Linked DNA regions of Arabidopsis thaliana. The protein of the gene in region 1 purifies or fractionates together with the protein of each later gene. This does not show direct contact. Each region holds a gene or a part of one and is shown in the gene's direction. Other genes may lie near its edges.

Region 1 (7,708 bases):
AGCTTTGTGTTATATTAACTTGTTATTTGTTGATGTGTGTGTTTATATAGTGCAAGGTTTGTATGCAAACATTCATCTGCACGACATCGGAAGTGAAATGCAGGGAGCACGCGGAGGCGAAGCATCCGAAAGCCGATGTTGTCGCTTGTTTCCCTCACCTCAAGAAGTGATGAAAGCTATTATCTCAACTATAAAGGATTCCAATGTATAACGTATGGATCCTCATCTTTCCTATGTTTGTATCAAAGTCTCGACAAATTTTATGGTTTCTATTTCTCTCTACTTGTTTCAACAATAAGTCTCTTGCTATGATTATATAATGAAGCTTTGTGTGGAACCTTTTTTTTTAATATAAGTTGGCTTCTTTTCGCTGTTGATTATGTTTCTATGAAAGTAAAGATTACCACAATTTTGATACAACAAAATCATTACAAAGTTTTTGGTTGAAAAATAGTAGTAAGCATCATCAATCAAGCTTCGGTTTTACTGAGTTCGTAGTCTGCTGCTCTCTGCGGCTTTAACTTGAGCGAAGTATGGATGATCCTATAGATCAATAGAGAAACCAGAGATTATAAGTTTGACTTGATCATCGGGTAAAACAAAATCAAAAGATGTGTGCACATGAAGATCATCGGGTAAAACAAAATCAAAAGATGTGTGCACATGAAGAGGATTTTTACCATGGCTTCTCTTGCGGTTAATCTGTCTTGATGATCATACTGAAGAAGCTTATCGAGAAAATCAATTGCCTAAAGATGTATACAATGAGTCAATACACCCAGAACGAAGCAAAACTATGTTTTTCGAAAAAGAGTAGTACCTCAGGTGAGACCAAATGTTGGTTGTCCGCGTTGATAAACTTGGACCATGGTTTGGGGACATGTCTACAAATAAGAGTGACTTCAGGTTTTAACTCATTGGTATAAAATTAACTGAGCCAGAGTTGAGAACAGCAACAATTTTGACTTTTAAAGACAGAGAGATTCAGGGATGGAATAAAACCTTCCAACAAGTGCTTCCAGTTGAGGGTCAAGATCTAGCTGATATTTGTTTAGGTAATGATCTAACTCATTGGTTCCCAACACCTATGCACACGTTTCAATCAGAAATCATATACATGGATTTAAGTTTACAATGTAATTTTATGCCAATAAGTCATAGACTAGCAATATACCTTGGCAATTTTGACAAGTTGATCATGATTATCATGGCCATAAAAGAACGGTTCCTTACGGAATATCTGCAGCATCAATATTTGACAAGTGAATAAGCAACAGCAAAGTATTAACGACTACCATTCGGAAATTCAAATGCTTGCAATAGCTTCAGCATTGAAGCTAGAGAGAAGAGTGAGGGGATTATTAGTTCTCACCATGCCAGCAAACATGCAACCAAGACTCCACATGTCTAAAGAATAGTCATAATCCTGTAGATCAACTAAAAGCTCGGGACCCTTGAAGTATCTGGCAATTAATTCACAGGTTTTTAGTCTAATGCATTTAACAACTACAAGAAGCTTTGATTGCACAGCTAAAAGTTTCAATCATTGGCATCTACGAATGACCCTCTTAGGCTTGCCAAGACAGGTGGAATTAAGCTGTGGTATCGGATATTACCTCGAGGCCACGCGAACATTATACTCTTTTCCGGGATGGTAAAACTCAGCAAGGCCCCAATCTATCAGACGAAGTTTACGCAGCTGATGATCTATCATGACATTATGAGGCTTAACATCCCTATGCATTATTCCTTGAGAGTGACAGAAATCCAATGCCTGAAATGCAATAACATCAGCTCTGGATTCCACGATAAACATTTGTATGTACGGTAAAAGTCATTTATGGTAAATACCGATACATTACCTTCAGAAGCTCATAAATATAGTACCGGATATCGTAATCAGTCAATGTTGGATACAATACTTTAAAGTCCACACTGTTGACAAACTCAAATACCAAGCTAGGTGTTTTGGAGTGCTCATCTCTAACAATATCATACAGCTTAACAATATTTGGTCCACCACATAGGTTCTGAAGTATTTTGATCTCTCTCTTTATCTGCATAACATCAAGTTTCAGCAAAATTAGCCATCTTTATGTATGCAAATTCATCAGAAATGAGTTCTACTAACTGATCACCTTCTTCTTTTTTACGGGTTTGAGGATCTTGATAACGCAACGCTCATTCGTATTGACGTTTTTGCCTTCGAAAACTTCACTGTATTTTCCTCTACCAACTTTTCTCACAACCTCATAATCATCTTGATGACTGAAGAATCACACAAAAGTATTTAAGAATCTCACACTGTTGAATTTCAAAATCCAATATTTGCTAATAGATACTTAAAACAAAGTGTCTTCAAGAGACCTAAGTCCAAACCCTAAAAAATTCCAATTTCTCTGATTTCGAATTCGATTTGGCAACAAATCAATCAAATTCCACCGAAAATTTATCAAAAAGAAGTCAAAAATCGTAAATTCATCAAAGAAAAATTCTAAAGCTAGAAGTTTTACCCCCATTGAACAACGAGAGACTCGTAGTCCCAATACTCTTTAGGACGAACAACGTTAACATCTGTATAAACCCTAGCTTTCGACATCAATTTCGATCTGAAAAAATGGAGAAATTTGCGATCGCAATCTTCTCTTTGATCGTCAGGTTTGTTTCAAGTGGACGATGATGATGACAACAGAAGAAGTGCGTTGTGCAGGATTAGAAAAAGGTTGAAGAAGAATCTCTGATACCCAAAAACCACCTAAACCAAATCGAACCGATTCAACCACACTCGAACCGAAACAAACCCAATCGGATCGATTTCAATCACACTATAACCGGACCGAATTGTTTAAACGACATCGTTTCGAAGAGAAGCCAAAGAAAAAGAAAGGAGAGAAATAAAGCAAATTCGTTACCTTCACTTTTCATTTTCTGAATAAGAGTTAAAAAAAGACATTAATGGCCTTAAGGCCTTGTACTGGATTCACAATCTCCTCTCTTCGCAACGCTTCCGCCGCCAACAACAATCTCTTCTCTCTCCTCTCCTTCTCTTCGTCGTCTCCGGCGAAGAGGAATCTTCTTCTCTCTTCGCTCCAGGACAATCTCCGTCGTTTCGCATCCAGCGCTTCTCTTTACCGTCAACATCTCCGGAATCAACAACAACAACATCAGCAACAACAGCAATCGCGCGTGAAAGAAAAATCAGAAACGCTGGCTCAGAAGATCGGTAAATCTATCCGGCGTGCCGGTGCGCCGTCGAAAGCTAGGGTTTACGCTGATGTCAACGTTGTTAGACCTAAGGACTATTGGGATTACGAGTCCCTTGCTGTTCAATGGGGGTATATCTTCAGATTCTTCTCTAATTAAACCTAATTACGTCGATTTCTAGATGTTTGCCTTTGGTTATAGATTGGTTTGGGATTGGTTGTTCTGGAATCAATGTGGAATGTAGATTTAGGGTTTCGTTTCATATTTTTGATTGATGATATAATCTCGTAAGTAATGCAGAATTGGTATCTGATTTGTTTGTATTGGTATCTGTTTTGTTTGTATATAATCTCTTGAAAATTGCTGGTCTATGTGAACTAGATTGTTGAATTGATATCTTGAGTTTGTATGGTGTTGTTACTGTTTGGTGTATTAGTGTTTGAGTTAGCTTCATTGATGCCGCAGTGTACAGGATGATTATGAGGTGGTGAGGAAGGTAGGAAGGGGAAAATACAGTGAGGTCTTTGAAGGCATTCATGCTACTGATAACGAGAAATGTGTTATCAAGATTTTGAAGCCTGTGAAGAAGAAGAAGGTGAGTAGATACAGCCGCTTGCTTGTTTTTATCTCAATTGTGCTCAGAATGAAGTGTGTTTCTGGCCCTTCACTTGGTTTGAATTATTCTCTAACATATTTTGCTTCTCCTTGACGCAGATTAAGAGAGAGATTAAGATTCTGCAGAACCTCTGCGGTGGGCCTAATATTGTAAAATTGCTCGACATTGTTAGAGATCAGCAGTCTAAGACGCCCAGCTTGATATTTGAACATGTGAACAATAAAGATTTCAAAGTTCTCTATCCAACTCTCTCAGACTATGATGTTCGATATTACATTTTTGAACTTCTAAAGGTAATTATTCAGTTTCCTGAATTGTAGACCATGATTTTCTTTGCGGCTTTGGCAATTGGCAAAAGTAATCGGTAGATATATCATAGATGTATAGCGTCATACACTGTTGTTTACCTTACTTGACTTTTGAATCCACTAGCCTTCAGTTATAAAGGGTACGAATTTGTTTCTGATGCTGTTTGTTGTTTCTTTTTAACATTTATGCAGGCGTTGGATTTCTGCCATTCACGTGGAATCATGCACAGAGATGTGAAACCACATAATGTCATGATTGATCACGAGCAGCGAAAACTTCGTTTAATTGACTGGGGTTTGGCAGAATTCTATCATCCTGGGAAAGAATACAATGTCCGTGTTGCTTCAAGGTAGTTCCTTTTGGCTATCTGCTAATCTCTCCTCTGCAAGATTCTATTTGTTGCAGTTGCTAAATTTCTGCTCATAGAGAGTCTAGATAAGAAATGTTGAAGATTGCATGCATTGAGCTCTTGAGATTAGTTGAAACATATTATCTAACTTCGTCTAGCTGATGTATACTATTATCATTTCTCACTTCATATTTGATGAGCAGGTACTTTAAGGGTCCAGAGCTGCTGGTGGATTTACAGGACTATGATTATTCCTTAGACCTATGGAGTCTTGGGTGTATGTTTGCTGGAATGGTAAGCGTTTTAAGCTAGAATTTAGTTAACTTGGTTTAAGCTGTAATGGAATGACAAGAATTCGACAGTACATTTTGGTTATTTTACCATTCCTTAAGTTAGTTAAGTGGTGAATATTGTATACTCTACTGTTTGCAGATATTCCGCAAGGAGCCGTTCTTTTATGGCCATGACAACTATGATCAATTGGTCAAAATTGCGAAGGTAACATTACAAAAGCTTTCATCATGTCTCGTCTCCTCTGAACAGATTTTACATTCCTCCAAGTTATAGCTAAAAATACGATTCTATGTATTTATAACTATGGCAGGTGCTTGGCACAGATGAACTCAACGCCTACCTAAACAAATACCGTATAGAGTTGGACCCTAATCTAACATCCCTCGTGGGCAGGTAATCCGGTTTAAAAAGTTATGAAAAACTCTAAAAACTCCAGTTTTGCGCCTTATCATTTCAGAACATTAAATTATGCACTCTTGATTTTATATAGACATAGCCGGAAGCCATGGACAAAGTTCATCAATTCTGAAAACCAGCACTTAGCAGTTCCTGAGGTACAACACTTAACTTTTCTCTATACAATTATGAAGCCTTCATGTTAAGACCAAAACACCGGATTTTTTGGACGAACATGACTCATTTGTTTTCATATACTTTTTGGTTAATGAAGGCTGTTGATTTTGTGGACAAGTTGCTGAGATATGATCACCAAGAAAGGCCAACAGCTAAAGAAGCAATGGTAAGCAACAATTTTTCTTTAATATCTTTCTAAAGATTTTCTCTTATAATTACAGATAAGTGATAGTAGAGAATATGATGGATTTTTACAGGCGCATCCATATTTCTATCCGATTAGAAATGCAGAGAGCAGCCGTACGCCGCGCAGCCAGTGATCTCGAAAACATTTGCTTGTTCAATCTTCTGATTTTTCATTTCTTTACGGATTCAAATTTGTTATAAATCGATCTGTCATTGTTTCATTCTCTCAAGTGTGCGTGTGTTACTGTTTTGCTCTTTCTCAGTGTTTCATTCAACTCATTTGAATTTTATTATATAAAAAAAAATATCCACAAGACGGGTTTCAAAAGGTTTTTCTTTCTTTTCTTCTCATTTTTAATTTTCTGGAAAATTTCATATTCTTGAGCGGGACAGGTTGGTTTGGCTTGCCGGTTTTAGTTAGCCCGTTTTGACAGCTCCGTGGAAGGTAGAAGAAGCTCGCATCGGGAGTAGAGAGTGATGGTCGGTCAGTTAGATATATAACTGTAGACATAAGAAAGCACAAGAATCTCTAATCTAATCCAAATAGTGATTAGGGGACATTAAGCACGTAATCCGATCTTGAGTACTGTGTCTGTGGAACAACCTCGACCTATCTGTCTTATATCTTTTAAGTTTAGTTTAATCTCTCTGGTTCCCTTTGTCCAAATGATTATGCAATCATCCTATATTAGTTTACAATATAGCTGTCTGTCTCTTTCTTTCTTGTTGAAAATGATGCCTTAAAAAAATTACTCATCTCTTAAAATTTTGTGAATTACGCACACGCAAAGATATTGCTGTGTCTAAAACATATGAAACCAAATATGGAAATATATAACTAATAATTGTGCAAGATTTTCAGTATATATATGCATCCATGATCCATCAATCAGTTATTTTTTTCAAATTATTGGAGAAAATCATCCACCAAAAGAGAAATAAATATTTACTTTGGAAACGATTAAAAACGTTTGATAACCGGTGTGCAGTCTTGTGAATTAAGATTATCTTTTGAGTTTTGACACCTTAATCCAAAGTGAGATTTCACGCGTATGAGTAAATGAGATTATTGAATGATGTATTCTGTTGGAATGCTTTAGATAATCAGTTTCGTGTGATAAAGATTTTCTCATTCTGGCCAAAAAAAAATAAAAAAGATTTTTCTGTTTTTCATTCCTGTTTTTATATTGAAACGTTACATTTTTCATATTTAGATATGGGATCATCGGATCTTGAACGTGTCATTCTATCATTTGAATAATTTCTGTATAATGTCGTAGATTCATGGTGAACTAATAACACGTGATCAAAGGAAGCATGCAGGGCAAATGAGAACAATGATCGTCTAGCATGTATGTTTGTAACTTTACTTGAGTAAGAAATCTACAGTTTCAAAATTTTTCTAGATTTGAATTGAAATTATCCACTGATAATACATTATACATGTACGTAAAATCACAAATCATCTTTTTGAATCAATCAAACTCTATATAACCACCGTACTCGTGTACAATCGTGTGCAGTGTGCACACTTCACACTTCCCTACTATTTTTTAGTTTTTAGTTCTATCTTGAGTGGAAAGTATGTAAAGATACTTTTGTTCAAGTTGTGGAGTTTAAGACCTAACGAATCATATTACAATTTGGTAAGAGTAAATCAAAATCTTTTTATGAACATCGATGTGACTCAAACCCACGTACAATAATATGTGACTCATATTTAACCGACCGATATTTAGACCGATGTTACTTCTGATGAATCAACAGGTTCACATTACAATGTTTATATAATCTACCTTCCGGAAATTTTTTAGTATATATACATATGAACTTGTGTGGTTTTAGGAATGCATATCGGGACACAATATTTTTTTGTCGACGTCGGTTGATTAAAAAACTTAATTAGAGTACTTTGATGTGCTTATACGTAGGTCACTAGTCGTAGATATTACATAATGACATTGCTGCCATTCTTACCCTACATTATTAGTTGTTCCTAAACGTTTTATATATCTCTCATTGACACGTAAATTAATGTAATGTTAATATTAATGTGTCCATGTTCCGTAAATTTCATCATAAAACATGGTTACGACATGTTAAAACAAAGATTATCTAAATAAGTCATCAAGAAAGAGAGTTGATTCTTATGTCTGCCATGCATGGGATGCGTATGA
Region 2 (7,523 bases), on another chromosome or scaffold:
AAACCTTTGGAGGAGAAAGCATAAATGTAGATAAGAAGTGTGCATATGAACTGATGATTGATGACACACACGTATCTCAGTGCATGCAAATTTAGAGAAATGGGTATGCGTGTACCTGCTGCTGCTGCGGTAACAACATCATTTTTGGAGTCAACAACGGTGGTTACAAGCCTTGTTTGGGTTTCTGGATGAGAAGAGTAGAAATCAGAAAGAGACATGTTGATACAGAGCAAAGTCATGTTGGAGTAAGCCGTTCCGATATCATTCACGATTCCCACATTTACATTGGTTATCCTATTTTGTGCTTCTCCGACCTGCATCAGGAAGACGATTACAAAGAAGAGTAAGCTGAGAACGAGGTTGTTTTCTCTCTTCATTTTATTCTTCTTCTACTTAGCCGAAAAAGAATGAAACTTGGTGGTCTATATGTATGCTCTTTGGTGTGGCATGAGACCCTTTGGTAATTGGAGAAGTCGTGATATTGTTAATTACGAACTTGTTGAATTTATTCCAAAGTATATAATATTTAAGGCAGCAACTTGTTTTTTTTTACATATTCTAATTTAACCAACAATTAAAGTCAACCGTTGCAAAGGAGGAGACTTCGTCTCATGCATAATTAACAATAACATAAGAATCATTGACCGGATTCCATGTGACCACTCAAAAGAGCAAGACACTCATAAACGTTCTCAGCTCGTAAATGAGACCTGTCCTCAGCAAAGAAATGGCACACTTTGTCACTCATCTCAATCCAACTGCAGCCCGGTTTCTTCCTCAATCCCATTTCTTTCATTTTTAATCTGACTCGTCTTGCTGCATCCCATGACTCACCAGAAGCATACAAATTGAACAAGACCATGTAGGTTGATGCATCATCTGGATAATTCTCAACAAGCAATCTTGCGATTCTATCTCCCAATGAATGTTCCAGGTGCAAGCAACAAGCAGAGAAGAGAGTACTGAGAAGCTCTGCATTGTCACTTGTCTCTGGTGTTTGTTGAATAATTTCATAAGCTTCAAGCAACCGACCTGCTCGGCCAAGAATGTCAATCATGCACGAGTAATGTTCAATAATAGGCTCGATTCCGTACTTTGATCTCATTTGACTGAAAAATTTGAGACCCTCATCAATTAGCCCAGCATGACCACAAGCTGACAATACAGCAAGAAGAGTAACCCCATCAGGTTTTAGACCAAACTTCTGCATTTCATCAAACTGGTAAAGTGCTTCTCTGGGTTGACCATGAGATCCATACGCAGAGATCATTACCGTCCATGATACAACATCCTTCTTTGGTATACTGTTGAAAATCCTAAAAGCCTCTTTTTCATTGCCGCATTTAGAATACATGTCAAGAAGCGCACTCAAAAGCAACTCGTCTGTTTCGAGCCTGCTCTCACTAATGGACAAATGAATCTGTTTGCCTTTCTCTAACGCAGCCAGTTGCGAACAAGCAGGTAAAACACTTGTGAAAGTTACCACGTCTGGCTTCACTCCAACACTCACCATTTGGTCATACACTTCAACAGCCTTAAACCAATTACCTACACTGATATAACTAGAAATCATGACATTCCATGACTCAGCAACGTCCTTCTGTGTCTTTGAAAAGACGGTTTCAGCCAAATTTGCTTCACCACACTTGAAGTATAGATCAATCAAGGAACAGTTCACATAGATATCTGCATTTACAACGCTTCTAATCACATAACCGTGTATAAATTTTCCATGTAGGAGATTCCGTGAGCGAGAGCAAGCCATCAAAATGCTGGTCAAGGTTGTCTGACTCGGTCGAGTTCCTTCTATGATCATTCTATTCAAAATCTCAACACATGACTTACTGTCTCCTTTAGCGACATAACCTTTGATCATAGAATTCCAAGCAACCAAACTCTTTCTAGGCATTTTCTGAAAAACCTCCCTAGCCACCTCCAAGCAGTCACATTTCCCATACATATCAACAAGGGCAGAGTTTACATACTCATCTAACTCAAACCCTTTCTTCACACATTTTCTATGTATCTCCTTCCCTCTCTCCAACCACAACAGCCTTGAACACGCCGATATAGCCACCGTCAACGAAACTGAATTTGGTTCAAAGCCAGAACTTTCCATTCTTCCAAACAACTCCAAAGCCTTCTCTGCCTCTCCACTTTGATAAAAACACGAAATAACCGTGTTCCAAGATGCTACATCTCTCTCAGGCATTTCATCGAACACTTGTAGTGAATTCTCAAACAAGTTAAACTTTGCATACATACCAACCAAAGAACTCGCCACAACCACATCACAAACATACCCACTCTTCACCACAAGAGTATGAATCATCCTACCAAGAAACTCTCTACCCAACGCACCATAAGCCTTAATCACATTCGGAAAAGTAAACGAATCAGGGACACAAATTGAGCAATTCAACAACCTCTTGAAAACCTCAAGAGTGTCATGAAACATTGAGTTCTTTGAATAACCAGACATTAAAGAGTTCCATATGTAAACATCCGATCGTATATCGAAGTTCTCGAAGACGTGTCTCGCTGAGCAATGGTCTTTACAAGTAAAGTAGACATTGATGAGACTTTTGCATAAAACTACGTCTCTTCGTAACCCCAACGTGAGTATTCTCTGATGCACAAGCTTGATTCTTCTTAGAGACTTGGTGCTATTGGTACACTCTCGCAATAAAGACAACAACTTTGAAGATTCCATTTCAAGTTCACATTTTTTTTTGTCGTGAGAGATTGAAATGTGATCAGTCGCTGCTTTAGCTAAATTATAAAGGAAAGACATGATTCAAACTACGACGTCGTTTATACTAATGGGCCAAACTTAATTAGGCCCAAAATGATTTATTTTTCTAAATTAGCGATGCGTTTTAAAACCCTAGGTTACAAAAACGCGCCGTTAGCAATAAAAACGCAGCGTTTTGAGAATCTCTGAACCTTCTTCAACAACTATAAAAACCATCTTAAACCCTAGCAGAATCGCGGCTCCTGATTTTAGCTCTCTCTAAAGCTGTAGTTGTGCGTTAACCCTCTAAGGTACTGAATCTCTCTCGCCCTCTCTTTCTTCGTTGTTATGGCAAATAAGCTTCCAAAATTCTAAGACTTTGACAAAGTATAGTTCTGTTCTTTGTCGGATTTTCAAGAATTTGAACAGAGTATCTGCCTTAACTATTATTCTGATTTGTAAACTTCGAAACAGGGAAAAAGTTTTACCTTGAATATTGTTTCGTACTAGCTTAATGGCTTTAGCTCGTAAAACACTAACTTGCAAGTTTGGTGACTTTGAGTTGATTCAAGGGTTTCTCTTAATCTTGTTTTTTCTTCTTTTCAGGAGCTTGTAAAAATGCTAATACTGTTTGAGACGCCAGGTGGTTTTGCCATCTTCAAAGTATTAAACGAAGGAAAGCTCTCTAATGTTGAGGTTACTAACTAAATCATTCTCCTTTGTTCATTTATCTTAACCTTGTTTCTGTGTGTGGTTTGGTTTTTTAATTCTAAGTATGTCAAATTTGTGATTGTAGGATTTGGGTAATGAGTTCTCGACCGCAAAGTTAGCCCGAAAGGTGATTTATTTTGTTCTAGACATAGTTCAAATTTTGTATCTGGCTAATAATATTTGTTTCTCATAGCAATTTTTGGTGTGTTGTTACAGATGGTGAAGCTAGTAGCTTTTGACAAGTTTGACAACACAGCTGAAGCTCTTGAAGCAGTGGCTAAATTGCTTGAGGGAACTCCAAGCAAGGGTCTACGCAAGTTTTTGAAAGCTAACTGTGTTGGTGAAACATTAGCTGTTGCTGATTCTAAGCTTGGAAATATCATCAAGGAGAAACTGGTGTGTATTTTGTTCCGATACGCTCTTTTATTTCTGAGTAAGGGTTGTTTCTTACGGTTTTGCTTCACTCGTGTAGAAAATAGTCTGTGTTCACAACAATGCTGTTATGGAGCTGTTAAGAGGTATCAGAAGCCAGCTAACTGAACTTATATCTGGATTGGGTGATCAAGATCTAGGTCCAATGAGCTTGGGGTTGTCTCACAGCCTTGCCAGATATAAACTAAAGTTCAGTTCCGACAAGGTAGTCATTTGATTTGTATTGGTTTTTGGTTCTCTGAATTATTTGTTGAGTTAGCCAACTTTTGATAAATTATGGAACTTTTGGTATCCCTTTTTTTACTCTTCCAACATTAGGTCTGAATTGCAATTGAGTTTGTCTATATATCCTGTGTTTGTTTGACCCTTATGTTACTTCACCTTGTACTTGTATGTTAGGTGGATACCATGATAATCCAAGCTATTGGTCTGCTTGATGATCTTGACAAAGAGCTTAACACTTACGCTATGAGGGTTCGTGAATGGTTTGGTTGGCATTTTCCTGAGCTTGCTAAGATCGTACAGGACAATATCTTATATGCCAAGGCTGTTAAACTAATGGGGAATCGGATTAATGCTGCAAAGCTAGACTTCTCTGAGGTAAAGGCCTGTTTGAGTATTTGACTTCCTTGTGCTTAACACTAGTTTTTTTTTTTTTGAAACATTGTTTCTGTGTCCTCCTCTCAGATATTGGCTGATGAAATTGAAGCAGAACTGAAAGAGGCTGCTGTGATATCTATGGGAACTGAAGTCAGTGACCTTGATTTATTGCACATCCGAGAACTCTGTGACCAGGTTCTTTCTCTTGCCGAGTACAGAGCTCAGCTTTATGACTACTTGAAGAGCAGAATGAACACAATTGCACCAAATCTAACTGCCCTTGTCGGGGAGCTAGTCGGTGCTCGCTTAATATCTCACGGTGGTAGTTTGTTGAACCTCGCAAAGCAACCTGGAAGCACGGTTCAGATTCTTGGAGCTGAAAAAGCCTTATTTAGAGCCCTTAAGACCAAACACGCTACTCCAAAGTATGGTTTAATTTTCCATGCATCTGTTGTTGGCCAAGCTGCACCGAAGAACAAGGGTAAAATTTCACGGTCACTAGCTGCAAAATCTGTTCTTGCTATCCGTTGTGATGCTCTTGGTGACTCCCAAGACAACACTATGGGAGTTGAAAACCGTTTAAAGGTATCCTTCAATTTTTTTTTTTCCGATCTTCCTCTCGATCTGATCTAAAAATACTCTACCTTGATTGATGTTTACCATGCGGGCTATTTTCTTCTGACAGCTTGAAGCACGGTTGAGAACTCTCGAAGGAAAAGATTTAGGACGTCTATCTGGCTCAGCTAAAGGCAAACCAAAGATTGAAGTATATGACAAAGATAAAAAGAAAGGATCCGGAGGTCTGATCACTCCTGCTAAGGTCAGATTATTCCTCTGCTAGTTTGTTTCTTCAACTTTCTTTTGTAATTATGAATTCTGGATTTGTGCAATTGTGTTTTGGATATATTACCTGTAATGTTGCTTAAAGGATTAAGCTGTTTGTTGTTGTTGTTGTTGTTGTATTCTGCAGACATACAACACTGCTGCAGACTCTCTTCTTCAAACTCCCACAGTGGATTCAGAGAACGGTGTGAAAGAGAAGAAAGACAAAAAGAAGAAGAAGAAGGCTGATGATGAGGAAGAAGCCAAAACTGAGGAGCCCTCAAAGAAGAAATCGAATAAGAAGAAGACAGAAGCAGAACCTGAAACCGCCGAAGAGCCTGCAAAGAAGGAGAAGAAGAAGAAGAGAAAACACGAGGAAGAGGAAACTGAAATGCCTGCTAAGAAGAAGGAAAAGAGTGAGAAGAAGAAGAAGAAGAAAACTGAGGTCTGAAGAGACCTTTAATATTTTTGCGTGGTCTAGTTTACTTTGTTATCAGAAACAAAGAAAATCTTTTGTGGCGTTAGGTGTTAAGTAAGGTTTTTGTTTTGTTTGAAACTTAAAAAAAAGAACTACTCTTCGTTTTGTAAGGTTATAATATGTTTGGTTTAGTCCTTATCCCAGAAACTTGCATTTTGCCAAACGAGTCAAGACCTTACCGTTAAATCCTTCTAATCTTAGTATAACGTAATTACTCATAGTTGATTAGTTCATAAATTTGTAAAGATCAGTCCGAAGAGTCGACATTTTTCATCAAGTGTATCATTGACATTTTAAAAAACCTTGTACAAAATGAATATTTGTGAGTCTAAAAAGTACCTTAATAGTCAATTGGAAATGGATTGGGTTGAGCATAAGGCAAATCATACCAGACCTTAGAAATTTCAAAAGATAAATAAAATCTAGAGTCTACCTACTTTGTGTGTGTATATATTTTTATTGTGCTATAAATTTTGTGATGAATATGAATCAAAATTCTTTCTGAATATTTCGTGATAATGGTTCCGTCAATATCAAAATTTACTACTGAACATATATGTTTTAAAATATTTAACTGGATTTTAATTCATAAAGTTTTTTTTATTTTTAATTAAATTTAGTTGCCGTGGAAAAAGTTTAATCTATAGTGTTTTATGTAATCATTGTAGGTAATGTTCAAAAAATCTGCCTAGACACCTATCGAACTGGATTTTAATTTATAAAGTCTTTTTATTTGTAAGTAAACTAGTAGGCAGCCCGTGCCTTGCACGCAAAACAACAATACCAATAATATATTTCGTGTCTTTGAAATTTGCAACAATTACACAAATGACGAATATCACAACCTCACAAAATACAATGTGTATCACACATTGCTCTATAACTCTCAATAAAAGTCCTATTCAACTTTACTCAAATTGTAAAATAATATATGTGTTAAAATTAAGAAAACTTTTATTGGAAACAGCAAATAATCTTACATAAATACACTAACTTATCTCATAGATATATAGAAAAAAATATATATATATATACAGAGCCGTTTTTTCTTCTCAAAAAACTTAACAATAATAATGATGGAGAAATGAATTACCTTCTAACCAAAACGCTTTTCTAAACTTGAACATATAAGATGGTTTCACATTTAAATTATTTTGCACACTACACCGTGGAAGAAGATGTCATGTCATGCCACCCATCTCTCAATTTGGTTATCTTCTTCTTCTTCTTCTTCTTTTTCTGAATTGAAAGCCCCAAAACATTTGCATCCATTTTGTTTCTATATGATTCTCGCAAACTCATGTGGTCATTTTGTAGCAGCGGGTGTGCATGGAAAATGTAAGAAGATAAGACCAAGTAAAACGCAACAAAACGGCCAAAGGTTTATTGATATTCATACCAGCGATTGGGTGGACCAAACTCAGTGAGTCGTGAGGGGTTAACAGCGTCCATCACATTAGGTATCACAAAAGTCTCAACTTTCATTATTTACGTCATTCTTTCGTTTCTCTGGTAGACGTATTTAGATGAAAGAATGGAGGATCTAAGATTATGAGAAAGGAAAGAAGAAGAAGAATTTAAACCTGTTTTTATCTTCTTGAGAATGGCTTATACGGTTGCTCTTGAGATCGTAAATTAACTGGCAGAGGGTTTGAAAGATGGGAGAGAAAGTAAAGAATCTTAATAACGTGGAAGAAGTAGTTGCTGAAAAAGTGGTTAAAAAAATTTAAATTTATCTTTTGTCAA
Region 3 (7,692 bases), on another chromosome or scaffold:
CAAATTCCGATAGAAAAGTTAAGAACTTTGGGTTTATTTATCCTAGAAATTGGGAATCGCACCTGATAGACGATGATTCCGACAAGAGCGATGAGGAAGAAGAAGGAAATAAGCCATGTCCAGATATCTCCCATCTTCCTCCTTTTGGTTCCGACAATTTCCTCGGATCTATCCTCGTTGTTTCTTGGTCTTCTCTCTCTCTCTCTCTCCTCCCAATAATGTTCGATGAGGAACAGAGAGAAAGTTAGGACAACGACTTAGTGGTCGGCTAGTTTTGACAGTTGAGCTCGAGATTCTGATCGGAAACAAAGAAGCCTAGAGAAGGCAGGCACGAGACTCAGCTTCCGGTTCAGTTTCCGGTTAAAATCGAATTCGTTATTTCCCGAAGTACGTACCATTTACGCCGGTTTAATATTTCAGTATTATGAATCTATGATTTATAAGCCATTGGGCCTCTATAGATTTAGCCCAATTAAATAGTAAACAGTTTGGGTTTGGGCACGAGAGCCGTGTAATTTTTGTTGAGTCGTGTATAATTTTTTTTAGGTCATTGTCTTATTGTATAGTTTTAAGGAAATCAAAAATGAAAAATTAAAAACAAAAATGGTACCAGAAACCATTCAATCATGTGATTGAGAAAAGCCAGCTGTTTTCTAGTACGAAGAAAAACAAGCTTCATCTTTTCCATGTATTTTTCTTTCTTTCTTTTCTCAAGAACGGTGAATCCATAACTTATAATTGCAAGGATTAAGAGATTGAGATTATGAAGGATAGCATTTTGGAATTGTAATATGGTTTAGCTTAGTCGGATTTTCCTCACTAATTATAGATTCTGGCCTCTCTAGTGTGGTTCAATTAAGTTGTAAAATAAAGAAGCTATGTTAGTAACTAAATCCATCCAAGTTCAATAATCAAATAATTACTATCGCTATCAATGTAAAAGGTGGCATTATTTTTATTTCAACTATTATTATTTCTTACATGGTATATATATATTTATTTCGGGTATAACACGATATAGTGGAGTGGTTGGGAAAAGAAGTTCTCGTACAAGATTGTAAATCAAGCAATTTACGTTTGATACAGTAATAATCAATATCAGTATTTTTTTAACTGAAAGGATTGGCTCTTCGTTTTCACTAACTGGAAAATGAAGATTCAAATTTATAACATACCTATTTTCTGTCAACAGTTACTTATTTTTAGTTAATATATGCATTTAGGGACCAATCTTGAAATCTCATTCCACGTATGAAAAGTATCATGCAAAAAAGTATATATCAATTCTAAACATTTTATTTTCAAATTTCATTCACAAAATCAGCATTATTTTATTTAAGTGGAGATTAACGTAAGAAGTTACTTTGATATATTGTTACATTGTTTACATTGTAGACACCTTAAGTTAATAAAACGTATGACAAAGTGATGTTATTAATAGTTCTCATCACTATATTGCAAACGTCGTTTATCAAAAAATAAAATTAGAGGGCATAATCCATGGTTTTTGGGTGGTTGGTATGTAACAGACAAGATCATTCTTATAGATAGTACTATCCATCTTTTTAAGATAGGACTGCTCTAAATTATGTGGTAAGAAATTAATTTTCTGCCTTTTTATTATATAGATACAGTTATGGGTGGATTTTGTATATTAGACTTTAGAATTCATTGATCATTCATACATATAAGCATGCATACATGATACTTCTACATTAGAAGGTGGGAGACAGTTGTGACATGGATTTTATGACATTAGATATTGACCAATTAAAACTTGACTCCTACTAACCTCCACTTATAACTTTAATTATACGTTTTACTAAGAGAGATTTACAAGTTCAAGTTCAAGACACTTTTTGCATTGGAATAAGAGTAGAAAATCAAGGGTAAAATATAGAAAGACTTATGTGTGTGTGTGTGTATGTGTGTGTGTGACACATAAGAAATAGTCTTTGTTGTGGTTAATTAGCTGGAATAGTTGATCAAGAAAATGTGTTTTTAATATTCATTAGTATGAGTTTGTTCGCATTGATATGGTTTTATAGGTTGTATTAAATTATTCATAGATCAACGACATACTAAAGTAAAATTCTAAGTTTTTGGCTATGAGTGAAAAGCATGTGTACTTTGTTGGACTGCTACAGATTGGTTGGTATTTAGCTAAATGTGTCCATTGGCCAGTAATTTTATTTAGGTAAATATTGGTCCTCAGTCATAATTTTATTTAGTGTGTGTTCATGTTTTTTTGGGTTTTTACTTTTAACTAAAAAGAGGTAGAAGTTGTGAAGAGTACAAAGGATGTTGTTATTCATGAATCATGACTTCAAACTTCTAACGACGGCCAAGACACACATGATTCATGAACATTCATACAAAGCAAATGAAAGCAAAATTGCTATTGAGATTAACAAAAAGTAAAAAAATGGTTGGAATTAGTAGGAACCAAAAGTGTCGGTAAAAAAATGGAAGTTGTAAAAGGTTGCAGTCAAAAATAAACAACTTTCAACACAAACCAAAAAAAAATATTTACAAAGAAATGTACTTTATGAGTCAACAGAAAATGGTCAACACAACACAGTCTCTGCGTTAATGTCTTTCATTGTCTATCTAGAAACAAAAATTAAATTCTCACTCTACCCTTTTATGCCCAAATTCTGAACTCATCCCACGTAGACAATAGGACACAAATGGAAATCCCACTCACCCATTTTTTTCATTTTTGTAATCAAATCCAAAAAAAATGTTCAAAAAGTGTCTTCAACGTTCACATAATCTCTAACTAAATTCACAATAAGGATTCTATAAACCGAATTAATCATTTAGATTTTTTTAAAAACTCAGCCTATGTTAATAATTCTTTTTTTACCAAAACTTAGAGCCTTCAAAATTCTCAAGATCCCAATTTTGTTTTTTTATCCGTTCAACTGAAGTTACGAAAGTACATTACCATTGGTGGTTGAAACTGTATAGCACAAGAAAAACATTTATAAAGATTAAGAAGAGAAAAAATCTAAATAAAATGCATTAAATTAAGGTCCCAAATAGTTCCAATTTTTTTTTCTTTTAAATATTAAAGTAGGAGACAAGAAAAGAGATTTTCGAAAGAAAAAAAGAAACAAAAGTTGAAAGAAAAAAAACACACATAACAAAAACAATCCCCCAAAACCAACTTAAAGCGCGTGACTAAAACGCTCCAATGATGAGAAAGCGAGATAGACTACGAGCCAATGTAACGTTTGTGTTCTCGTACGACGTGGGACTCTCTTCTTTCACCTCCATGCGCGTGTGCTTCAACCTCCTCTGTAACTCTCTCTCTTTCTTCCATATTTCTCTCCTCTTCTTCTCCGCTCTGTCTCTTTCTTCGAAAAAACCATTCACAGTCAAGAACAAGAGCTCACTAGAAAGAAAAAAAACTAAAGAAGTGAGTAAAAATTTCATTTCTTCTGATCGCCGGAAAATGGCAGCGACGTTAAAGATCGTCGTCTTCCGGCGAAATCCTACTGCTGAAGAATGTCACACGTAAAATCCAACTCTCGCTTAAAACCCTTTTAGCAAGAGCCTCGAAATTTCCGATTTAGAAACTTTTTTTCTTTCTTGATGGCGACGACTAACGCTCACACGGCGACTCAACAGACACCACCACCACCACCTCCTCCTCCTCCAGCTCCTGCTCCTCCGGCGATGGATGGGTTAACAACAGACGAGCTAACAGCAAAAGCATTAAACAAGAGATACGAAGGTTTAATGACGGTGAGAACAAAAGCAGTGAAAGGTAAAGGCGCGTGGTATTGGACTCATCTTGAACCAATCCTCGTACGCAACACCGACACTGGTCTCCCTAAAGCCGTGAAGCTTCGTTGTTCTTTATGCGACGCCGTTTTCTCCGCCTCTAATCCTTCACGCACTGCCTCTGAGCATCTCAAACGCGGCACGTGTCCTAATTTCAACTCTGTTACTCCCATTTCCACCATCACTCCTTCTCCTACCTCTTCCTCTTCCTCTCCTCAAACTCATCACCGGAAACGTAACTCCTCCGGCGCTGTCACCACCGCGATTCCTTCTCGGCTTAACCCTCCTCCCATCGGAGGCTCTTATCACGTCACGCCGATAACCGTTGTTGATCCTTCTAGATTCTGCGGCGGAGAGTTGCATTATTCAACTCCTCCGCCGCCGCAGCATTTGATGCTCTCCGGTGGAAAAGATGACTTGGGTCCTTTAGCTATGCTTGAAGACAGTGTGAAGAAGCTTAAGAGTCCTAAACCGTCGCAGACTCAGTCTCTTACCAGATCGCAGATAGAGTCAGCTTTAGATTCTCTCTCTGATTGGGTCTTCGAGTCCTGCGGCTCTGTTTCTCTCTCGGGTCTTGAGCATCCAAAGTTTCGAGCTTTTTTAACACAAGTTGGTTTACCAATCATCTCCAAGAGAGATTTCGCCACCACGAGATTGGACTTGAAGCACGAGGAAGCCAGAGCAGAGGCTGAATCGAGAATCAGAGACGCAATGTTCTTCCAAATCTCATCGGACGGTTGGAAACCAGGAGAGTCCGGCGAGAGTCTTGTGAATTTGATTGTGAATTTACCAAACGGGACGAGTTTGTACAGAAGAGCGGTACTTGTGAACGGAGCTGTGCCGTCTAACTACGCAGAGGAGGTCTTGTTGGAGACGGTGAAGGGTATTTGTGGAAATTCACCTCAGAGATGTGTTGGGATAGTCTCTGATAAGTTTAAGACCAAAGCACTGAGGAATCTGGAGAGTCAACATCAATGGATGGTGAATCTTTCTTGTCAGTTTCAGGGACTCAACAGTTTGATCAAAGATTTCGTAAAAGAGCTTCCTTTATTCAAATCCGTTTCACAAAACTGTGTGAGACTAGCTAAGTTCATCAATAACACCGCGCAGATACGTAACGCTCACTGTAAGTATCAGTTGCAGGAACATGGCGAATCGATAATGCTTAGGTTGCCTTTACATTGCTATTACGACGATGAACGTAGAAGTTGTAGTAGTAGTAGTAGTGGTAGTAACAAGGTTTGTTTCTACGAGCCGTTGTTTAATCTTCTTGAAGATGTGTTGAGTTCCGCTAGAGCAATTCAGTTGGTAGTACATGATGATGCTTGCAAGGTTGTTTTAATGGAGGATCATATGGCTAGGGAGGTTAGAGAGATGGTTGGTGACGAAGGGTTTTGGAACGAGGTAGAAGCGGTTCATGCTTTGATCAAGCTTGTTAAAGAGATGGCTCGGAGAATAGAGGAAGAGAAGCTGCTTGTAGGGCAATGCTTACCTCTATGGGATGAGCTAAGAGCTAAGGTTAAAGATTGGGATTCTAAGTTTAATGTAGGGGAAGGACATGTGGAGAAAGTCGTTGAGAGAAGATTCAAGAAGAGTTATCATCCGGCTTGGGCTGCGGCTTTTATACTTGACCCTCTTTACTTGATAAGAGATAGTAGCGGAAAGTATCTTCCTCCGTTCAAATGTTTGTCGCCAGAGCAAGAGAAAGATGTAGATAAGTTGATAACAAGGCTTGTGTCTAGAGATGAGGCACACATTGCGTTGATGGAACTAATGAAATGGAGAACCGAAGGGCTTGATCCTATGTATGCAAGGGCGGTCCAAATGAAAGAGCGTGATCCGGTTTCCGGAAAGATGAGGATAGCGAATCCTCAAAGCAGTAGACTTGTTTGGGAGACGTATCTTAGCGAGTTCAGGTCACTAGGAAAAGTTGCAGTAAGGCTCATTTTCCTCCACGCTACGACTGGAGGGTTCAAATGCAACTCCTCTCTTTTGAAATGGGTAAACTCGAACGGGCGGTCACATGCAGCCGTTGATCGAGCTCAAAAGCTGATCTTCATATCCGCTAACTCGAAATTCGAAAGGAGAGATTTCTCAAACGAGGAGGATAGGGATGCAGAGCTTCTCGCTATGGCTAATGGTGACGACCATATGCTAAACGATGTTCTTGTCGATACGTCCTCAGTGTGACATTTGAATCTCTTTTTTGATCAATTTGATTTCACCTTAGTTTTTCATTAGAATTTGGCATTTCTTTAGGATTGTTTAAATTCATTTCTTTGATTTACTAGTATCTCATTCATACTATCATTAATATTCAATTTGTACTTGGTTTCTTTAGAAGGTGATTGAGAGTATTTGTATTTCTTTAGTCTATATAATATACCATCATAATTTTTCGATATAACATATGTGTCTATTTCAGTTTCTTGTCCTTATCATCGATGTATCGGTTAGAAGTTAGAAACTCTAATTAATGACAGCTTTTGCTTCTTCGTCTCTTGGTACAATAGTGTAATGATCCCACTCGCTTTTTTCATCGGAAATTCATATTCTTAATCATGACTTGAAAACATATCTTTACTTTTCGAGAGAAAATGACTTAACTTTTGAAAGTTTAATGTTCTTTCTTCATGATAACGTTTGTTGTTGGCAATGACAGACTAAAGATGCATATACTTTTGATATCTTGAGTTATTGAAGAGCAAAACCTGATTAACGGGTTTCAATTTAATTTTAACCATGATTATGATTATGAGATTATCTATCTATATCAATCTATTAAGTCTTTTAGAAGAACAAAAATGTGGATCCCCACCATGAAAGCAAGTTTTTCTTGGCTATTGTATACAAGTTCATTTTAAAGCTGTAAAAGGTGAAATTGTGAGATTGTAAATGTGAAGAACCCTTTTTGATGTTTATAAATGAAACCTTGTTAATCTTTTTGTAGCAAGATGTGTGATTTACCCATGATTTTTTTACGGCTATGAATAGTTGGAAAGGTTAAAAGATTTCTTCTTTATTTATGAGCCCATGGTATTGTACTTTGTGGGGTATTTAAAAAACTGTAACCCATGATTTATATTCTTGTAAATCATAACTTTATCAATAGTACCACAAATTTTGAAATCTAGTGGCAAGATTTCATAAATGGACTGACCGGACAGCTAAAGTGAAATTACACAAATTAAGTAAGAACAGTGAAAGCAAAGAGAAAACAAACAATTATTTCGAAATAGTAAAGAGAAATACAATTATTTAGATGCTATTTTTCCATTTAAGTTACAGACAAATAGATAAGTCAAGTACCTCTTCTTCTTTTTTACACACATGCTCATACACACACATACACACAAACAAATATGTACGACATTCTAAAACACTGTTATATTTAATAAGTAAGTTTCATACTTATGTATTGTTAAATAATAAAGTCGAATCTATATATAGGTTACTGATTGAAGGAAATATAGGTTTTCACTTAAATTATTTAAGAAGGAATCATTTTCATTGGAGTGGTAATTTGTAACTATGCTGAACAAGAGGGGAACCCTAAAAGTAGAAATCAATAATTAAATTTTATACCCCACAAATAGCAAAGTATACTACTTTTTTCTTTTATATACACTTTTTTTTTTCTCATTGTAAAACTTTGAACTTTCTAGCATGCATTATATTCACTTCGCCCACCTCCTCGAATAGTTGATCTTTAAAAAATCAAAACTTAAATTAGGTAATAGTTATAAGAAAATCTTAGAATACATCGGCTTTCACTTTTATTACTACTGCATGTACATCATCATTTCAATGAAAATTAAAAGACACAGAAACACAAGTTTTTTTTTGTCAATATATTAAATAATATGAGTTCATATTTCGTGGAAATAAGAGGGTAGTGTA
Region 4 (7,493 bases), on another chromosome or scaffold:
ATGAGGCTGAACGAGCTGTTTCTCTGTGATTATTTCAGGTCTTATCTCCAGATATGAGTTTAGCAACTGTACGGGCATATGTATGGAAGAAACCTGAGGATCTGATTCTCAACTACAGAGTGGCTATAGCTAGATAACTTTTGAGGTAAAATATTAGAAAAAGGTGAAAACTTGTGGTAATGCATTATGTTGGTGTGTTGTCAAGATAAAATTTATTGAGCGGCTCCATCTACTTGACAGTTTTTACTTGGGAAGGTGATTTCATATTAGGTATTTTCATCAGAAAGAAAAATAGAGATACTTGAGTTGGTAGATTTTTCATGTGAGCTTTTTCACAACTCCTGATACCAAAGCCTTTGTAGATTGCTCTTTTTGGTTTGAAACAAATGATAGGAACAATAATGTTATGTTGATCGAAGCCTTGAAATTGAATATCACCATATTCATTTATTGCTCTACAGATTGGGATCTGTCTGCTGGTGCATTTAATCACATGGAAGTCTATAGCTTTTCATTGCTTGTTCCTTCGAAAAGCATATATCTTGGTTTACCTTGGCCTAGTGTTTACTTAGCTTCTCTTCTTTGGAGCTTGGATTCATGAGAAGTGGGCACCAATAAAGGTCCAAGATATTTAGGTGAGATGGTGTCGAAAGCTTTACTGAATTTGTACATTAGGTTTGAGCTTTGGAAAACAAAAAAACTTAGTATCTATTTTTGATTGTTCGGTATTAATAAACAAATATTGTATCTAAACTCCATCATCCCACTGTGGAAGCAACATGCCGAGAAGAAAGGTCTTAGAAGCTCTCTGTGTTGTTTTCCCAGACTCCAAACTAAACCCGTCTAGCCCGAATCAAAACTTTGGTTTCTAGTTTGGGATGTCTTTATCAAACCACAGTAAATCGAATCAAACCAAAAAACGCAGTTCCATTAATGATCAAACTAGATTACCACCGATGTTGAACCAAATTTAGAGAAAAACCGGACCGCACTTAATTCTACTCGGAAATAAATTGCGACTTTCTTTGATTCACACAAGAAGATAAACCTACTATGTCTATGCCAATGGCTGTAGGATTTTACATGGTCTACTCACTTCGAATGCTTTAACAGTTAAACAAAATCGAGTAGAATATACTGTTCAGTGGTGGCTTTCTTTGATGACGTCGTTGGGTTTCAACTTTCTATGGTGTTACCATCAGCTTCAGCCATCTCACGTTCTTTCTCTTGCTCCTCTGCAATTAGATGATGAAAGTGCATGTGTTAGTTCCATAATAAACAAACACCAACAGATCACTCTATTTTGGACTTCTATGATTTGGTATCATACTACCAACAGATTCAGTGAAATGTTACTCACTTACTCACGAACCACAGACTAATGTCTTAATTATCAAGCTTACATAGAAGATATCAGTATGTAGATACAGTTGCCACTTACCCATGAGTTTATGCATTGCCTTTTGAGTCCGCCTTTCGAGCTTATCAAGCTTCTTCTGCACATCTCTTCGGAGGTCCCAGTTTGGCTTCTTTGGAGCGATGTTAACAAATGGGTCCTACAATGATAACATTTTTTGTAAGCTTAAGAGGCACAAGTAAAGGAAACAACAATGCTAAACAGAGTCGCTTTTGGTGATCCTTGTACAGAGAAAAGAAAAACTGTCACACACACCTCTTTCTTCTCTACAGCAGGTGGAAGTGCAACGATCGGATCTTCGAATTTGGGTAGCTCTGGTGGCGCTAGTTTACCATCCTGAAGCTCCTTAGCTTGGGGAACATAGTTTCTAAACTTCATGGCTGGACCACTGTAAAATCAAAGACAATTCATATGAATAAAAAGGGAATCTACCTCGAATAATCAATCAACAAAACCAACCACCTAAGCAAAGTATACACAACAATGCAACTTGAAATTGGAAAAAATTGTTAGGTAACAGATGCTGCAAGAGCACCATTATTGATTCTCTCACAAACAGTGATAGTAAAGGCGAGAAGCAAAGCACAAGAGAAGCTCCTAGTTATGCTAAAGCCAACACACAACATTAACAACTCCATGTGCTAGTCAAGACAAACAAAATAAGCAAAGAACAAAGCAAACTCACTCTTCTTCGACAGCTTCATCCTCTCCGTCTTCCTTGGTCTCAGACAGTTCCTGAGCTGCCCTTAGAGCTTTAAGTGCCTCTTTACGAGCAGCAGCTTTTTGTTCAATCGATTCATCTTCACTAGCCATTATAACTTCCTGCAAAATTAGGTTATCGACGTAAACATCGAACACTAGCCCAGCTTCTTCAAACACTAATCACACAACTACAGAGTATAACCCTAAACAACACGCAAAATCGTGATTTTCAGGATCCACGGAACTAATCAGATGAAGTTTTAGCAAAATCAGAGCTATACTATGAAATAAAGTTGAAGAGAAGTATGGAAAACGCTATCTACCCAGAAAATCAACGAGAAAATTTGAAACCGTACCTTGAAGCTTCGAGCTCTATAAATTCGAGACAAATTTGTTGAATACCACAGAGAAACAAAGGGATTAAAAAAGAAAAACTATTAAGGGGGAAGAGAACAATAAAACGCCCACGTATTAATATTATAAACGGGCCAGATTAAAATATCCATTCAGTCAGGCCCATTAATCTTAAAACCTAAACCCTAACTATGGAAGTTATAGAAATACCCCTTACAATACGCGGCGTTTTAAGAAGGCTCGGCTCGTCTTTAACTGCTATAACAACACACTCTTAAAACCCTAAGTGATTGTCCGTCTCCGTCTTCATCTTCTTCCTCTCTCTCACGCAGCTGCTTTGATTAACTCTTCAGGTATTTAATATCTCTCATCTTCTCTCTTCACGGTGTTTCACTTTTCCATTCTTGCTGGAGATTGTGGAGTTTCGAATACTCATACTCGGACAGAGTTTTAAGGCTATTGTAGTTTATCTCTCTGTTTTTTCTTCTCCTGTATTTCTTATGTGATCTAAAAGTAGGATTAGGGTTTATATGGAATGCTGTTTCTCGCTAGTTTTTAATCTCAAAACGAACTTTTAGTTTAATTAGTGTGACTCGGACACGTATCTTTACTGTTCTGAGTTAAGTGTTGTCTTAATTTTCTCTTCAGGTCCAGCTTAAGAGTTTTGTGAAGATGGTCTTAGTGCTATACGAGACAGCGGCGGGGTTTGCCCTCTTTAAAGTTAAAGATGAAGGAAAGATGGCTAACGTCGAGGTGAGTTCTCTTCATTCTTTTGTACTCTCTTTGCTTATCCTTAAGGCTCTAAAAGTATTCATGGATTATTTTTTATTTTTTTTTGCAGGATTTGTGTAAAGAGTTCGACACTCCAGACTCAGCACGAAAGGTAATTTTTTTGCTTCTTCATCAAGTGTGGTTTCAGAACATCTAAAATTAGATTTAGTGTTGAGTTTCTCATATGTTTTTATTGGTGTACCAGATGGTTAAGCTAAAAGCTTTTGAGAAGTTTGACAATACATCTGAAGCTCTCGAAGCTGTGGCTAAATTGCTGGAGGGAGCTCCAAGCAAAGGTCTGCGCAAGTTTTTGAAAGCTAATTGTCAAGGTGAAACCTTGGCTGTGGCTGATTCAAAGCTTGGGAATGTTATCAAGGAGAAACTGGTTTGTAATTCCCATCATTACACCCATATTCCTGTCTGCTCTGTGTTTTGTTTCTAATGAAAGTTCTTAATTTCATACAGAAAATTGATTGCATTCACAACAATGCTGTTATGGAGCTTCTACGTGGTGTTAGAAGTCAGTTTACTGAACTCATATCTGGGTTGGGTGATCAAGACTTGGCTCCTATGAGCTTGGGTCTGTCTCACAGTCTCGCCAGATATAAGCTAAAGTTTAGTTCTGACAAGGTATCTTCGGTTCCTGACTAATTGTATTGGTCTTTTTATTTGGTGATATGATATGTGAAGTATATGAATTTGTTAATTGATCGAAGCTAACTTGTGTTAAATTATGGAACTTCTGTATTGAACTAGCCTTTGATTGTCCGACATTAAACGTTTCCTGTGTTTGTTTTTGCTTCTCTTGCATCTCCTAACTGTTTAGTTTTTGTCAGGTGGATACCATGATTATCCAAGCTATTGGTCTGCTTGATGATCTTGACAAAGAGCTGAACACATACGCCATGAGGGTTAGAGAATGGTATGGATGGCATTTTCCCGAGCTTGCTAAGATCATATCAGACAATATCCTATATGCCAAATCTGTTAAATTGATGGGAAACCGAGTTAATGCTGCTAAGCTAGACTTCTCCGAGGTAACTTTCAATTTTGTAAACTGTGTAGAGGCTTCCATGAACAAACGCCTTGATTAACGACCTAATATTCTCCTGTTTCTGGTTTCATTGTAGATCTTAGCAGATGAAATTGAGGCAGATCTTAAGGACGCAGCTGTGATATCCATGGGAACAGAAGTCAGTGACTTAGACTTGTTGCACATCCGTGAACTCTGTGACCAGGTTCTCTCTCTTTCTGAGTACAGAGCTCAGCTTTACGATTACCTAAAGAGCAGAATGAACACTATTGCTCCCAATCTGACTGCCCTGGTAGGAGAGCTTGTTGGTGCTCGTCTTATTTCCCATGGAGGTAGTTTATTGAACCTCTCCAAGCAACCTGGGAGCACGGTTCAGATACTCGGAGCCGAAAAAGCTCTCTTTAGAGCTCTTAAGACAAAACACGCCACACCCAAGTACGGTTTGATTTTTCACGCATCTCTGGTTGGTCAAGCAGCACCAAAGCACAAGGGAAAGATCTCGCGGTCTTTAGCTGCTAAAACTGTTCTTGCTATTAGGGTTGATGCTCTTGGTGATAGCCAAGATAACACTATGGGCCTTGAAAACCGAGCTAAGGTAACAAAATTCTTCAATAGCTTTCCTCTTGTTGGTATCTCTCTGAACAATCTTTTTTCCTCCTTCTTAACTGATGATGTTTCTGATATGTGTTAAAAACTCACAGCTTGAAGCGCGGTTGAGAAATCTTGAAGGAAAAGATTTAGGTCGTCTGTCTGGTTCATCTAAAGGCAAACCTAAGATTGAAGTCTATAACAAGGATAAAAAGATGGGATCAGGCGGTCTTATCACTCCTGCTAAGGTCACGATCATTCTCTCTGTTTTTGATTCATCATCTTTTCTTCTAATTTTGGATGTGTGTACATATTGTCTTTGTTCTTGGGATTATGATGAAGTGATCTTGACTGTTTTTTGTTATGTGCAGACTTACAACACTGCTGCAGATTCTCTTCTTGGGGAAACCTCAGCTAAATCTGAGGAGCCATCAAAGAAGAAAGATAAGAAAAAGAAGAAGAAGGTAGAAGAAGAGAAACCCGAAGAGGAAGAGCCATCAGAGAAAAAGAAGAAGAAGAAAGCTGAAGCAGAAACTGAAGCCGTAGTAGAGGTTGCAAAGGAGGAGAAGAAGAAGAATAAGAAGAAGAGAAAGCATGAGGAAGAAGAAACAACGGAGACACCAGCCAAGAAGAAGGATAAGAAAGAGAAGAAAAAGAAGAGTAAGGACTGAGGGAGAGAAACCGATTTTGAGAAATCTCTTGAGTGTAAGATTAATAACTGTTTTTGTTGAATTGCATTTTATCTAGAGGAATAGGTGTTTTAAGATGAAACTTAAATTTTCTGAAATCGTCATTTTGAATGATGGATTCATATTTAAATCCTTTTCACCCGAACTTTATTTTTGTTCTAGCCTTCCAGACTCTAGATTATTAATTTTGGAACTCTTTTTTCAATTTATAGTTTGTAGTTGTACAATATTCTTCTTGCATGATTTATATATATCTGGAAGAGGAAAGAATTGAAGAAAAATAATATATTCTGAAAAAATCAAATAGTTTTTTGCTACTAAACGTGTCTGTAGATTCACCAAATAAAATACTCTTTGATTTTGTTTTGATTTTAAAGATTTTTTACAGGCGTTAGTATCTTTTTCATGATCGTATTTCTCTTTGTTGACTATGCATGTTTATCTTTGGTTATTGTCTGGCAAGATTTTAATCAAATTAATGAGGTCAATAAAATTAGTATATCGTCTACAAGAATACATAGTAGTTAGCAATAATGCTGGGAATGAATGAATAAATAGATAATATATGTAGCTTTAAGTCATAAAAGAAATAAAATGGCTAATTCTAAAGGACAGACGTAAATCATTAGTTCCTTAAGCTTTTGTTCCTTGTTTGGTTTACAATAGAGTCTTGATAAAGGAGCTTCTTTGATTGGATAGATGAAGTAAACTCTCATTACATACCATATTTCTTATTTTATTTGTTTTTCCAATTCCTATTTTAATATTAAAAAAAACTCTTAGTGTTTATTTTAATAATAAATTCCAAAATTAGGTGGGTACATACCAAATATTCTTTACATATGCTAAGTAATATATTGTTTTTGACCAACAAAATTATAGATCAGTTTTAATATTCTAATGTCATTGAGAAAACCACTTCTTTAACACCATTGGACCTCTTACACATTAAAATCTCCCCCAAACTTTATAGACTTATAGTACTCCACAAATTTTTAAAATTGAAAATTGTGATAGAGAAAAGAGAGAAGAAATGAGTACAAAATGGTGCTCAGAGGTTTTTAAGTTGGTGGGGGCTGAAGAAGAGTAGTAACTTTGAGCCTTTTTGACCGTATTGGTGTTGCGTCCAAAAACAATTACTTACACATAATAATAATAATAACAAAGAGCCAACAGATCTTCGTCTGTTTCTATTTATTCCTTTTTCTTGTCTGATTCGCAGAAAACTAAAGAGAGTTCTTTTTCAAGTAAAATTCGAAGAGCAGTTCAACGAATCCTTCTTCTCCTTGAGACATTTTTACCCAAGTTGGTCTCTTTCTTCCTTCTTAAACAATAGTAGAGTTATTATTGGTCTACGACTCTGTTGTATATGTGTATGTATCACCTTGCCTTTTCTCCAAAGCCCTAATTGATTTTTCTTTCTTCTTTTTTTGTGTATGCTTTAAAGGTTTCATTTTTAAAATCTTCTTGGACTCCATTTCTTTTCCTTTTCCTTTATCTTTTTGCCTCTCTTTGTGGAGTTTTTGAAATCATCCCTCATTTCATTCCTATTTTCGTTGTCTCTTTGAGTTTGAGTCAGCTTTGTGTTGTGTCTAAATTCTAAACAAGTTTCAGATCTTTACCTTCCTTTGACTTGTCTCCTGTCTTAAAACTAGGGTTTAATTTTCTTTCTCTGTTCAAGTCTCAGATTTGACCAGCTTGGTCCAGAATTTCGCTTCTCCTCGATCATAAAGTAAGTAAATTTCACCAACCCTTTTCTCTAAGTCTCCTGTTTTAGTCAAATCTGATCTTCGATGTGTTTCTAGTTGGAATCAATTTTCTTGTTTGTTTTCTGATTTTTTCTGTTTCAATTTTTCATGTATGTGTGTGTGTTGCAGTCAAAGTTGATTCAAAGAGGTTTGATTGAGTCAGAGATCTCTCTTTTAGAAACATGTTGAGC

What was found.
Region 2: the proteins of AT2G23070 (region 1) and AT5G27120 fractionate together in Arabidopsis thaliana (co-fractionation; one large-scale study listed by BioGRID). This does not show direct contact.
Region 3: the proteins of AT2G23070 (region 1) and AT1G12380 fractionate together in Arabidopsis thaliana (co-fractionation; one large-scale study listed by BioGRID). This does not show direct contact.
Region 4: the proteins of AT2G23070 (region 1) and AT3G05060 fractionate together in Arabidopsis thaliana (co-fractionation; one large-scale study listed by BioGRID). This does not show direct contact.

The regions. Positions count from the first base shown.
Region 1 is NC_003071.7:9,822,119-9,829,826, reverse strand, and holds AT2G23070 (Protein kinase superfamily protein), read left to right. Parts: upstream 1-2,928; 5' UTR 2,929-2,955; coding exon 2,956-3,335; intron 3,336-3,669; coding exon 3,670-3,799; intron 3,800-3,918; coding exon 3,919-4,113; intron 4,114-4,320; coding exon 4,321-4,478; intron 4,479-4,681; coding exon 4,682-4,772; intron 4,773-4,910; coding exon 4,911-4,976; intron 4,977-5,082; coding exon 5,083-5,165; intron 5,166-5,262; coding exon 5,263-5,326; intron 5,327-5,442; coding exon 5,443-5,511; intron 5,512-5,602; coding exon 5,603-5,665; 3' UTR 5,666-6,185; downstream 6,186-7,708. Other genes in the region: AT2G23090 (Uncharacterized protein family SERF), read left to right, coding at 51-170; CKA3 (Protein kinase superfamily protein), read right to left, coding at 484-543, 681-749, 821-884, 1,003-1,085, 1,175-1,240, 1,373-1,463, 1,617-1,774, 1,863-2,057 and 2 more; AT2G23067 (Putative membrane lipoprotein), read right to left, coding at 7,679-7,708. UniProt on the Arabidopsis thaliana protein: Casein kinases are operationally defined by their preferential utilization of acidic proteins such as caseins as substrates. The alpha chain contains the catalytic site. Involved in the regulation of various developmental processes.
Region 2 is NC_003076.8:9,537,935-9,545,457, forward strand, and holds AT5G27120 (NOP56-like pre RNA processing ribonucleoprotein), read left to right. Parts: upstream 1-2,926; 5' UTR 2,927-3,045; intron 3,046-3,340; 5' UTR 3,341-3,352; coding exon 3,353-3,430; intron 3,431-3,530; coding exon 3,531-3,572; intron 3,573-3,661; coding exon 3,662-3,841; intron 3,842-3,917; coding exon 3,918-4,082; intron 4,083-4,276; coding exon 4,277-4,477; intron 4,478-4,564; coding exon 4,565-5,062; intron 5,063-5,162; coding exon 5,163-5,297; intron 5,298-5,447; coding exon 5,448-5,750; 3' UTR 5,751-6,131; downstream 6,132-7,523. Other genes in the region: GLR2.1 (glutamate receptor 2.1), read right to left, coding at 116-377; AT5G27110 (Tetratricopeptide repeat (TPR)-like superfamily protein), read right to left, coding at 638-2,713. UniProt on the Arabidopsis thaliana protein: Required for 60S ribosomal subunit biogenesis.
Region 3 is NC_003070.9:4,212,789-4,220,480, reverse strand, and holds AT1G12380 (uncharacterized protein), read left to right. Parts: upstream 1-3,068; 5' UTR 3,069-3,600; coding exon 3,601-5,982; 3' UTR 5,983-6,223; downstream 6,224-7,692. Other genes in the region: AT1G12390 (Cornichon family protein), read right to left, coding at 63-134.
Region 4 is NC_003074.8:1,411,217-1,418,709, reverse strand, and holds AT3G05060 (NOP56-like pre RNA processing ribonucleoprotein), read left to right. Parts: upstream 1-2,653; 5' UTR 2,654-2,826; intron 2,827-3,121; 5' UTR 3,122-3,145; coding exon 3,146-3,226; intron 3,227-3,314; coding exon 3,315-3,356; intron 3,357-3,449; coding exon 3,450-3,629; intron 3,630-3,709; coding exon 3,710-3,874; intron 3,875-4,080; coding exon 4,081-4,281; intron 4,282-4,374; coding exon 4,375-4,872; intron 4,873-4,978; coding exon 4,979-5,113; intron 5,114-5,236; coding exon 5,237-5,536; 3' UTR 5,537-5,843; downstream 5,844-7,493. Other genes in the region: LRS1 (Transducin/WD40 repeat-like superfamily protein), read left to right, coding at 39-137; AT3G05080 (uncharacterized protein), read right to left, coding at 565-672; AT3G05070 (Cwf18 pre-mRNA splicing factor), read right to left, coding at 1,177-1,235, 1,442-1,556, 1,673-1,805, 2,103-2,230. UniProt on the Arabidopsis thaliana protein: Required for 60S ribosomal subunit biogenesis.